Linked DNA regions of Oryzias latipes. The protein of the gene in region 1 binds, or shares a complex with, the protein of each later gene. Links are inferred from orthologs where the notes say so. Each region holds a gene or a part of one and is shown on either strand. Other genes may lie near its edges.

Region 1 (4,858 bases):
TAGCTCCCAAGATGGCTCGCCCTTTTTGTAATGTTGGGTCCCCCACCCAACATTGTGAGTGGCTGTAAGCTAGCTGGATGACAGGCAGCAAGGGCGGTGCTTAGCCTGCGCCAGGAGCCCCGCCCACAACGTTCTGCAGAAATCATGTTCTGGGAAACGAAATGGGGTTTCTTGGGGGGATTTTCTGCTAAAAACGGCCGAATGATAATCAAAAGACGACCGGAGACACTTAGAAAATAGATGAGATGATGATCTTGTCATGGTGTAGCAGAACCTCTGCTACTTCAAACTGAAACAACCTCAGTCTGAAACACGGATGGCTGATAAAAGCTAACCACACGCGTGTTTGTACACACTGATATCATCTCCAGTTGTGCTGACTCAGCATGTTGAACTCTTGCACCCTCCTGTCATGTCGGGATAACCTCAGACACAACACCGTGGCACACGAGTCTCGGGTGCCCCATCGACCATAGGCGGGGCCTCAGGCTCCGCTCGGCGCCACAAGAGGCGGCACTGCCTCTTGTGGCGCCATCCTCCTGAAGCCAGGCAGCGGCCCGTGGCTTGGTGGAGGCGGCAGGTTCTCTGGTACAGCGTCCCCTCGGCTTCAGGAGCAGGAGTTGGTCGATGCCGCTCACTCCCCTTTACATGCCGACCCCCCACTCCCATTGTGCGCTTTAATCCGGGGCTCTTTTGTGGCAGGATTCCACAAGAGGGCCCGCCGTGCTCCTCCGTCACCCCCTTCTCCTTTCAATTTGCATGGAAATGCCTTCATGTGTGTGTTGTGAGTATGCCCCCCACCACCACCACCACCATACCATCACTGAATGGTTACAGAGAAAGAGATGATTATTATTGTTATTTTGTTTGGGTTTTTAGTGTTTTGAACCCCACCGTTCCACTTCACGTTCTTCCTTTTTTCTTTCTTTTTTTCCTTGTAATGGATCGGACCGGGATAGTTGGCGTTTGGTTGACGCGTAGGAATCCGGATGCGCACACGCACCGTTCAAAAACACATCTGTGCAATACTTCCGCCTCCCCCAAAAACGCCAATCTCTTGATAAGCGGAGGCTCGTTTCTGAGCGAGCATTCTCATTCAGTTTGATGCCCAAAGTTCCTAAACACCTGAACACATCCATCTTTTCTCCAACTGCTTATTGGCTTCACTGTGGGTACTACTTTGAATGTTAAATCATTGTTTTTGCCTCCTAAGCTCATAATTTAAACTTGTCCTAAATATTCCCAAGCAGCCATTATGGACTTAAGAATTCCCAAAGGCGAATCTCACCACAAACATCTCCGTTCAGTTTTCTCCATTCGTTCCATCAAAATCGTTGGTGTCCTCCGTGAGAGTCCCGTCTGCCGCTGTTTCTTTACGTTTATTTTTAAGCCACGAAGACGCCAGCACGGGCTCTTTATTGGAGATTTACGGGTGCAAAGGGAATCGGATTCTGCCGTTTCTGTGGTCTCCGTGGACATAAACTCTGCACCTACACAAACACGCTTCACATGCTGAGGCCTCATGAGGGGAAGGGAAAAAAACGGACATTCTGAAGTTAATTTTGAAGGCGTGGGTTGTGGAAGAGCAGGTCAGATACAATGAGGCCCTTTTATCTGCGCTTCCATCTTTTTTTAACCGCCTGTGTCATATCCAGTCGTTCCGGGCGGCTTTTGGGAAACGCACCAACATCCAGCATCTCTCCATTGATAATTAGGTTTCCTTGATTTGGTTTTGAAGCCCCACTGGTCACAAAAAAAAAAAAAAAAAAAATGTCTTTTCGACTCAAAGGGAGTAAACAAGAATATTTAAAGACACGCAAAGATTGACTTGAGGCTGGATGTTGATCCACTGCAGACCGCGTCTGTTTCTCTTCTGGTTGGAGGCTGTGGTGCTTTAAACTGATGCTCGTGTTACCTGGTCAGATGGGAATTTCTGCTGCTTCCGTGTTTTCATGAAGCCTTTTTTTCACCACTTTTCTCTTTGCTATGTGACCTCAGTCGTTTGGCCTGCCCTCCATTTTTATTCCCAAACTTTTATCTCCCTGCAGCTGAAATGGACGGCCTGTCCGACCTCTCCCCTCCCGGCTCCAACCACAACCACCTGGGCTTCTCCCAGCAGCAGCCCATCCCCGGCAGCACGGCGGAGCAGACCCCTTCCTCGCCGGTTCCCCCTATGCCCCACGGCCCGCCGCCGCACGGCGGCCAGACGGCGAGCCGACAGCCCCAGCTCCCCGGTCTGCACCACCCGGGCCTGGTGTCCACCCCCATCAGCCCCCAGCTGGTCAACCAGCAGCTGGTGATGGCGCAGATCCTCAACCAGCAGTACGCGGTGAACCGGCTGCTGGCGCAGCAGTCCCTGTCGCAGCAGTACCTGAACCACCCGCCCGTCAACCGCAGCTCCCACAGCAAGCCCATGGAGCCGCAGGTGGCGTCCAACACGGAGGTCTCCGGCGAGATCTACCAGTGGGTCCGGGACGAGCTGAAACGGGCCGGCATCTCGCAGGCCGTCTTTGCTCGGGTGGCTTTCAACAGAACCCAGGTGAGACGGGAACGCCCTCACTAAAACGCCACAAAAGACGGAATTTACTAGAAACGTTGACTTTATTTCCCTCTGGTCCCTTTTGATTTTTGCCGGTGTCTCCACTGTCGGTGTTGTAGAAACTAAAACCGAAACAAACGGCAGAAAATGTCTGCCTGGAAATCCGTGTATTTTTTAAGGTTGAACCACATCGTGAACCCCCCCCCCCGTTTTTAAACGGCTTCCTAAAGTTTCTTTCATTTTCTACATTTAAATTTTTTACATTTATATGCATTCACAGCACTTTAGCCAACTGCAAAGGCTTTACAGGTAAAGATGAAATACATTTGGAATTCTTACAGCAAAAACAACAAAATCCCACTTCTGACACCAAAGTAAAAAGTGCGTCCCCCCCACCCCCCCACCTTCGGGCTCGGTTGTGATTTGAAACTCCTTTTCAAAGACGTCTTAAGACCGCTGCGTTTCTGAATCCTGATAGCATCGCCGCCGTACCTGAGGACTGCTGGCAGGCTGCCACGCCAATGAGCCCAGCTTCAGTCGTTAACATCCTTTCCCGCTCTGCTTCCATGTGGCGCTCGACTTCATTGTCGGAAGAACAACACACAAACGCGCACACACACACACACGTGGGTGTTGATTTCTCCAAGGGACAGCTTGTTTCTTTAATGTTGGCGCTTTTATCTGAGCAGAAAAGAACCGGTGTCCTGCTGCAGGTTAGCCCACCGCCGGTTTTTTGGTACATTTCAAATATTTTTTATCTCAATTTGAACCCTTGTGGTGTCTTGTGGGGTCAAAATGACCCCCCCCTTACAGTGACGTGTTCTCCCTACCATGACAAAGGTGGATAAAGGTGGAAAGATTTCACGTAGTCCATGGACACCAGTGAAGATCACAAATCATTGAAGAAAAAAGGTTCAGAGCACTGTCTAGTGGGTCTAGATGACCCAACTCCCAATGTTAAAGTGCCTTGAATAGCACAAGGAATAATTAGGAAAATCCTGCAGATAAAACCGTTTGGATAAAACTCTGTTCGGCTCATGTTTCCTGCTCGCAAAGACTCACTCTGGGGAAAATCAAGATTTTCAACAGAAAGAAAATGAAGCTCAAAATTGTATTTCTAAGCATTTTTGGGTTCAAATCCTCGTAAATAAGGAGCGGAAGAATGAATGTTTGAAAAAGATCGTATTTTTGTATAAAATGTGGTGGGCGGGGCTACAATCTCCCTGCTCCGCCCCGTTCTGATCCATCCACCTGCAGACAAAATGATCCACGAACATCTGAGCTGGAATCTGGATCTGCTCACCGTTTTTTAGTGGCCTGTCAGGTTCAGGGCTAAGCCAAGGGTGTAAACAGAGAGCTCTCAGCAATGGGGAAGCTGGGAAAAAAGGTCCCGCCCACAACTCAGAGGTGAATTTCTAACAAAACACTGCCGCTCTGCAGAAACAATGTCCTAGAGCAGTGTTTTTCAACCTTTTTTGAGCCACGGGACACTTTAACCTTGACAAAAATCCCGCGGCACACCAGCATCCAAAAAAATAAAAAATAAACAGAAATTCATGGTCTCTATTGATCGACAGCCCCCCCCCCCCGCAATCTCACGTGCATTTTGTGATAATTGTGGCCAAAAAAGCAGGAAGTTGCGGCTGTTTTTTCTAAGAGATGAAATAAAAGTTAAATTAGAAAATTTAGAAACTGTTTGTTTGTCCGTTGAGGTTTCTAAACATTTCACGCGCACTCATTGTGCGCTGGGACACTGGCCCTTTAAGCCAATGCATCATGGGAGATGTAGTGTGAAAACTGCCGAAAAAGGGCAGAAAGACTCGCGTCTGTGAGCTTCATTGTTTTGTTCATGGTCTGACACCGGACTCTGTGGAAAGCTACACCGCTAAAGACGAGCTTTAGATGGTATTTTTGTTGGAACTGAGAGAATTTATGAGCAGAATTAAGAACAAGGAAGTGAAGACTTTAACCACTTCTGATTGGTCAGACTGCTGACATGTGATTAAGCCTTCAACAATGATTGGCGGAGACAGGTTAAGGGGCGGGACTTTCCCGCAAACCGCTATAGCTGCAGGTAAATACCGTCATTCTTATCAAAATGTCTTTAATAGAATCAAATAAACACAAAGAAAAAGTAATTTTAAGATCTTTTATATTCCTCACTACTCAGTGTTTTATCAGGGCCTGTTTGGATGAACAAAGAGCTGATTTCCTGGAGATGGGAAATGTTTTTAGATCAGTGAATGATTAATGAGGGTAATTTCCCACGGCACACTTGACCATCTCCCACGGCACACTAGTGTGCCGCGGCACACTGGT
Region 2 (4,960 bases), on another chromosome or scaffold:
CCTCCCTTCGAGCACACCATCCCCAGCCTGAGCCCTTGCACAGCCATCCAGCCGACAGCAGCTGCTGGGAATCAGCAAAGCCGACGAGCCTCTGCCACAAATGGCCACCAGACGCACCACCGTGTCGCGGAGCAGCCCGGTCCGCCTGGCCAGGCCCCTGCCACGGCCACCCCGGTCGCTCCGCTGGCCCACGAGTTTCCCTGGATGAAGGAGAAGAAATCTTCTAAGAAGTGTTCGAAGGCTGGAGGCGGCTCCGGCGGCGGAGGATCGGTGTCAACCCCGGCCCCGTCCTACCCGTCTCCAACCGCCCCTGGGTACGCCTCAGCGGACGTCGAGTCACCCACAGGTCTGTAGACTGGGGCGCAGGGAGTGGCGTGCATGTGTGGAACGCGTGATGAGCATCTCCAGCTCACGCTCATTTTTTGAATTTTCTAGGAAGCTTCCTTATCATTTAAACACCGTATTTTCCCCCACATTCGTGCATGTGCGTCTGTTGGTTTGCGCGCACGCGTGTGGATTGTGGGGTGTTTGTGATGCTGCGCGTGGAGCTGCAGCACTGCATGATGCTGCAGTGCCGTGAAGTGATTCCAGTGATTTCATCTGGATTTCCACACAGACACTAACTCATAATTAGTGCATGAGTGCGTGCGTGCTAAAAATCTTCCATCCATAACTGCTTAGCTTCTATACCAGCACAGGAAGCTGCGCTTTCACAATATTATAACATTCATTGCTCCACTGGCATGGTCGCCATATTGGAGGGAGGCAGATAAGGCAAAAGACTGAAGTATGGCGGGGTGGGGGCTGGGGCGCACTGACAACTCGACAGGAAACGTTTGACGCACAATGTGAATTTCTGGGGTTTGGGCCATTCCTGCATTTTTTTTACTGACCTCCACGGTTTTGCAATTCCCTCTCCTAAAACAGACCTCCTTCATTTAAATGAGATTTCGTGTTTTCTTCTTGTCCCATCTCGTCTAATTTCCTGCTTTCTGTCATCTTCTTCGGGGGTTTTTGTACAACGACGTTGCTAATATTAAAGCCAGTCTGTGAACCACGACAGGAACTCGTTTATTTCTTTGTCTCTTTCGAATTTAAATTATGTCTTTCTTTCAAATACAGACTTCTTAGAAAGTAGAAAATAAATATCTAAATGGGTTCAGGTTTTCTAAATTTCCCTTAATTGATAGGCTAGAAAAAATAGATCTAGTTTTGAAATTTACATGTTCTTTTGTTTGTTTGCATCAGATTCCAGCCAGGCGGCTCTGGACGCCAGCGCGGCCGGGTCCCGCCGTTTGCGCACCGCCTACACCAACACGCAGCTGCTGGAGCTGGAGAAGGAGTTCCACTTCAACAAGTACCTGTGCCGGCCGAGGAGGGTGGAGATCGCCGCACTTCTGGACCTAACGGAGAGACAGGTTAAGGTCTGGTTCCAGAACCGGAGGATGAAACACAAGCGACAAACCACACACCACCGGGACGGCGGCGGAGGAAGTCCGCCCTCCAGCGCGTTCGAACCCCTGGAAGGCGCCGACGCGTCCTCTCCCTACTCCAGTCAGCCGCTGGAGGCTTCTGGGACGGGGGAGGCCTCCTCGGACGGGGAGCACGGGGGCGAAAACCCCGTTTCTTTCAACGATGACAGCGGGGACAATACGCGTCCCACGCCGGAGGACACAGGCCGTTCGCGCGCCTCTGAACGCCCACTGCTGCTCGGCACAGCTGGTCCGCATGACTCCACCGCGCCCCAGCCTTCTCCGCCCGCATTCCCGCAGAAAAACAGCAGCACTGCCGGCCTGATGCAGCTGGGGGACGCGGCGTTCTCCGAGCAGAGGGACCCCGCGGCTGCTTCATCCCAGCCTCACGCCATCTCCTCCTCCTCCTCTTCCTCCTCCGCGGCCCTCCCTGACCTGACCTTCTTCCCGGAGGACGCCTGCCTCTCGCCCAGCCTCCAGAGCTCCCTGGACAGCCCGGTGGATTTCTCCGAGGAGGACTTCGACTTGTTCACAAGCACACTGTGCACCATAGACCTGCAGCACCTCAACTTCTGAGGCGACATTAAAAACAAACGAAAAACAAAAAAAATTAAGAAAGAAAAGGAAGAGAAAAAAACTGAACGCATTTTTTTAAAAAAGAATCCCGGCAACATTCCATAAACATGAAGTTTTTTTCATGCTTTTTTCCGTCCTGGTTTTAATTTCCAGCTGTAATGTAACAGTTTTTATTTTTCATCTCCAAAAGGATATTTTTGTTTTTCTGAGTAGAAAATGTGGACAATTTCTCTTATTTGTCCCCTTGAATATATTTGGATCGTTTCTTGGTTGCGGGCCGTTCCTCCTCCTCCTCCTCCTCCTCCTCAGCGCGTGGATTCGTTTCCTCTCGTGCTCCCGTGCAGCTTCGTGGATCCTCATAATTTCTCAGGAACGGTGGCAGAGTCTGGACTGCTTCAGAAAACTCTCTGACGAGTGGAAAAACCCTGCTGAAGACACCAGGTTTAGACCTTAGTTTATTTATTGAGATTCTTTAATAGTGAAAATCCAAATTATTTATTGTACATATATTTTCATAGTGGAATAATAATAATAAAAAAGAAAGAAAAAAAGAAAATTTTGTGCATAATTTTGTGTTAGAATATTCTTAAAAGATTTGTTCATGATGTTTTATATTTTATTTAAAATGGCAACATTATAAATTCTTAGATGGCAATATTTTAAAAAATGCTGACTAATTATTAGGAAAACATGAATTTAACATTTGAATGACAATTAGGGTGTTAGTCATTTAGTACATTGTTTTTAAAATTGATCAAAAATTACCTTAATTTTCAATTTGAGACTAATGTGTACAATTTGTTCCACATTATAAAATAGGTTATTTAAAAATATATTGGAATCATTGAACCTAATAATAATTGTTTTGTAAAATGTTCCCATTAATTGTTTATTAATTATAGGCAAGTCTACATGAGTTCTTTGTGCAGACTGCAGAGCCTGACTGTGCAATTATTTTTTACGACATAATTCTAAAAGGAGAATAATAAAACCAACAAATCCATGCTGTTGTGGTCAGGGATGCATTCAACAGCAGGGTGCTGCATTCGCACTCCTGCAGCTTCTGTGTTCCCCTTCCAGAGAAGCACAGACAGGAAAACAGGACTCCCCTCTGCTAGCCTGTGATGCTAACATGCTAACTGCTCCCCTCCAGAGTCAAAATGGCGCTGGAGACAAAGGAGGATGTGAACAATGAGCAGTGGCAGCCATTACAGGATGACTGGCCCACAGTGACAGGCGCCGCGTTCCAGGCTTTTTACGAATCAAATAAATATAGTAAAAATAATTCAAATTGGCTACAATAAAAAATTTAGTAATAATAATATAAATATTATTACTTTGGAGATTTTTGATTTGCAAATCATTCATCCAGAGCTGCAAGGTATTTGGCTAAATTATTCATTTATTTTAGAATTTCAATAAATGTTTATGATAAAGCCCAGATTTGACTTTCCAGCCCAAATAAGCTGCTTAAAAAAAAGAAAAACATGATAAATAGCCTATGTGATGTCTGAACTGTTCATTTATCTCTGCATTAAGAAGGAGTTTTATTTTGATGGAAGTTCATGCTTTCAAAAACCTCAAACATTGAGGTGTTGGGGGCTCATTCACATTTATATATTTAGATGGATGAGCAGCAGAGCAGGTTAGAGCACCAGGATGCTCCTGTGACTAAAATCTAATCTTGGAATGGTTGAGCATTTAAACGGCCAATTGCAAAAATCATCTTACTATAAGAAAAGGATGCCGAGGCTTTTATTTTGATGCAAACTAGTTATCATTTGTCAAATTAGGACTTTACACTTTGGCTTTGCAAATCCAAAAATAAGTGAAACAGACGTGACTTTCTGTCGACTTTCTCACAGAGAGAAATAGCCGTGTGAGTAGTGCTGTGCAGTGACAGGCTGCAGTGGTGGTGGACAGAAAACACAAAGACAAAGGCTGATCGATGTGTTAAGAAAGCCGTCCAGAAGAAATGTCATTTTTCTTCTGGTTCTAACAGACGTGCTCAAATTAGAATAAATGGGATCCACTTTTTCTGCCTCTGCTCAGCTGGAGCAAGACAAAACACACTCTGTTTGCATGAACTAACACTTAAGGATTTGTTTTAAAGTAAGAGCGAATTTGCAAACCATTTGCATCATTTCAAAAACTTTCACAAATAAATTCTAACTGACTTTGAGCGGCTTCAGTTCACTGAAAGCAAAGTGTGGCGGGCAAGAACATGACAGAATATCCAACTTGGGGTCACTGGGTTTTCTAAAAAATGGAAAAAAAATACATCGGGTTGAAATGTTTAATGCTAAACCTTTTAGGTCAAGAGCATTTGAAAGATGTTTTTTTTTTCATTTTCTTTAACAAGCAAAAGTTCATTTTTCCGAAATGTCTTTAAAAGTTTCATTAAGTATGCAAGCAAAACACATCAAATACTTTACCAGATTTATTTTAGATAGGTGTCTGACAGCTCCAGACCAGAGTGAAAATGGAAAATGACAGTAGAAAAATTGCATTGAAGTATGGAGTCCAGAAACCCATAAAGAGCAGCAAATACTGTTTTTTCTCTGCAGTGTTCAGGAGTTGTTTGGTTGCACATTTTTGCCAAAAAGCATTTCCAGAAGCGTCAAAACTTTATTTAAGGTCTGTTAGCGTTCCAAAAGAAAGTAAGAAGCCTCACAACAACCAGGCAAAACTAAAAGATTAAAAGTCAAATGTGCTTTTTTTTTTTTTTACTGCAAGACAGATTCTGTGTTATTGTGTCCCGAAACACCCGTATGTTAAAACAAAGAGGTCAGTGAGTTGACCCTCAAAGCTTTTCTTTGCCTTTGGCAGCTTCTACAAGCTTCAGCAAAGCATTTCTGCCTCTGGATCTGCATGTTGAGATGAGGAATGAAAAAACCCAGCAGGACTTTCCC

What was found. Proteins that work in one complex are often made in the same cells at the same time.
Region 2: satb1 (region 1) and hoxb2 share a complex: the UniProt entries of both Homo sapiens proteins name them as parts of the nuclear protein complex. The link is inferred for Oryzias latipes from reciprocal best matches to the Homo sapiens genes SATB1 and HOXB2.

What each region holds. Positions count from the first base shown.
Region 1 is NC_019874.2:30,144,306-30,149,163, forward strand, and holds part of satb1 (DNA-binding protein SATB1), read left to right. Parts: intron 1-2,048; coding exon 2,049-2,539; intron 2,540-4,858. UniProt on the Homo sapiens protein: Crucial silencing factor contributing to the initiation of X inactivation mediated by Xist RNA that occurs during embryogenesis and in lymphoma.
Region 2 is NC_019866.2:24,276,848-24,281,807, forward strand, and holds the end of hoxb2 (homeobox protein Hox-B2), read left to right. Parts: coding exon 1-346; intron 347-1,248; coding exon 1,249-2,048; 3' UTR 2,049-3,528; downstream 3,529-4,960. UniProt on the Homo sapiens protein: Sequence-specific transcription factor which is part of a developmental regulatory system that provides cells with specific positional identities on the anterior-posterior axis.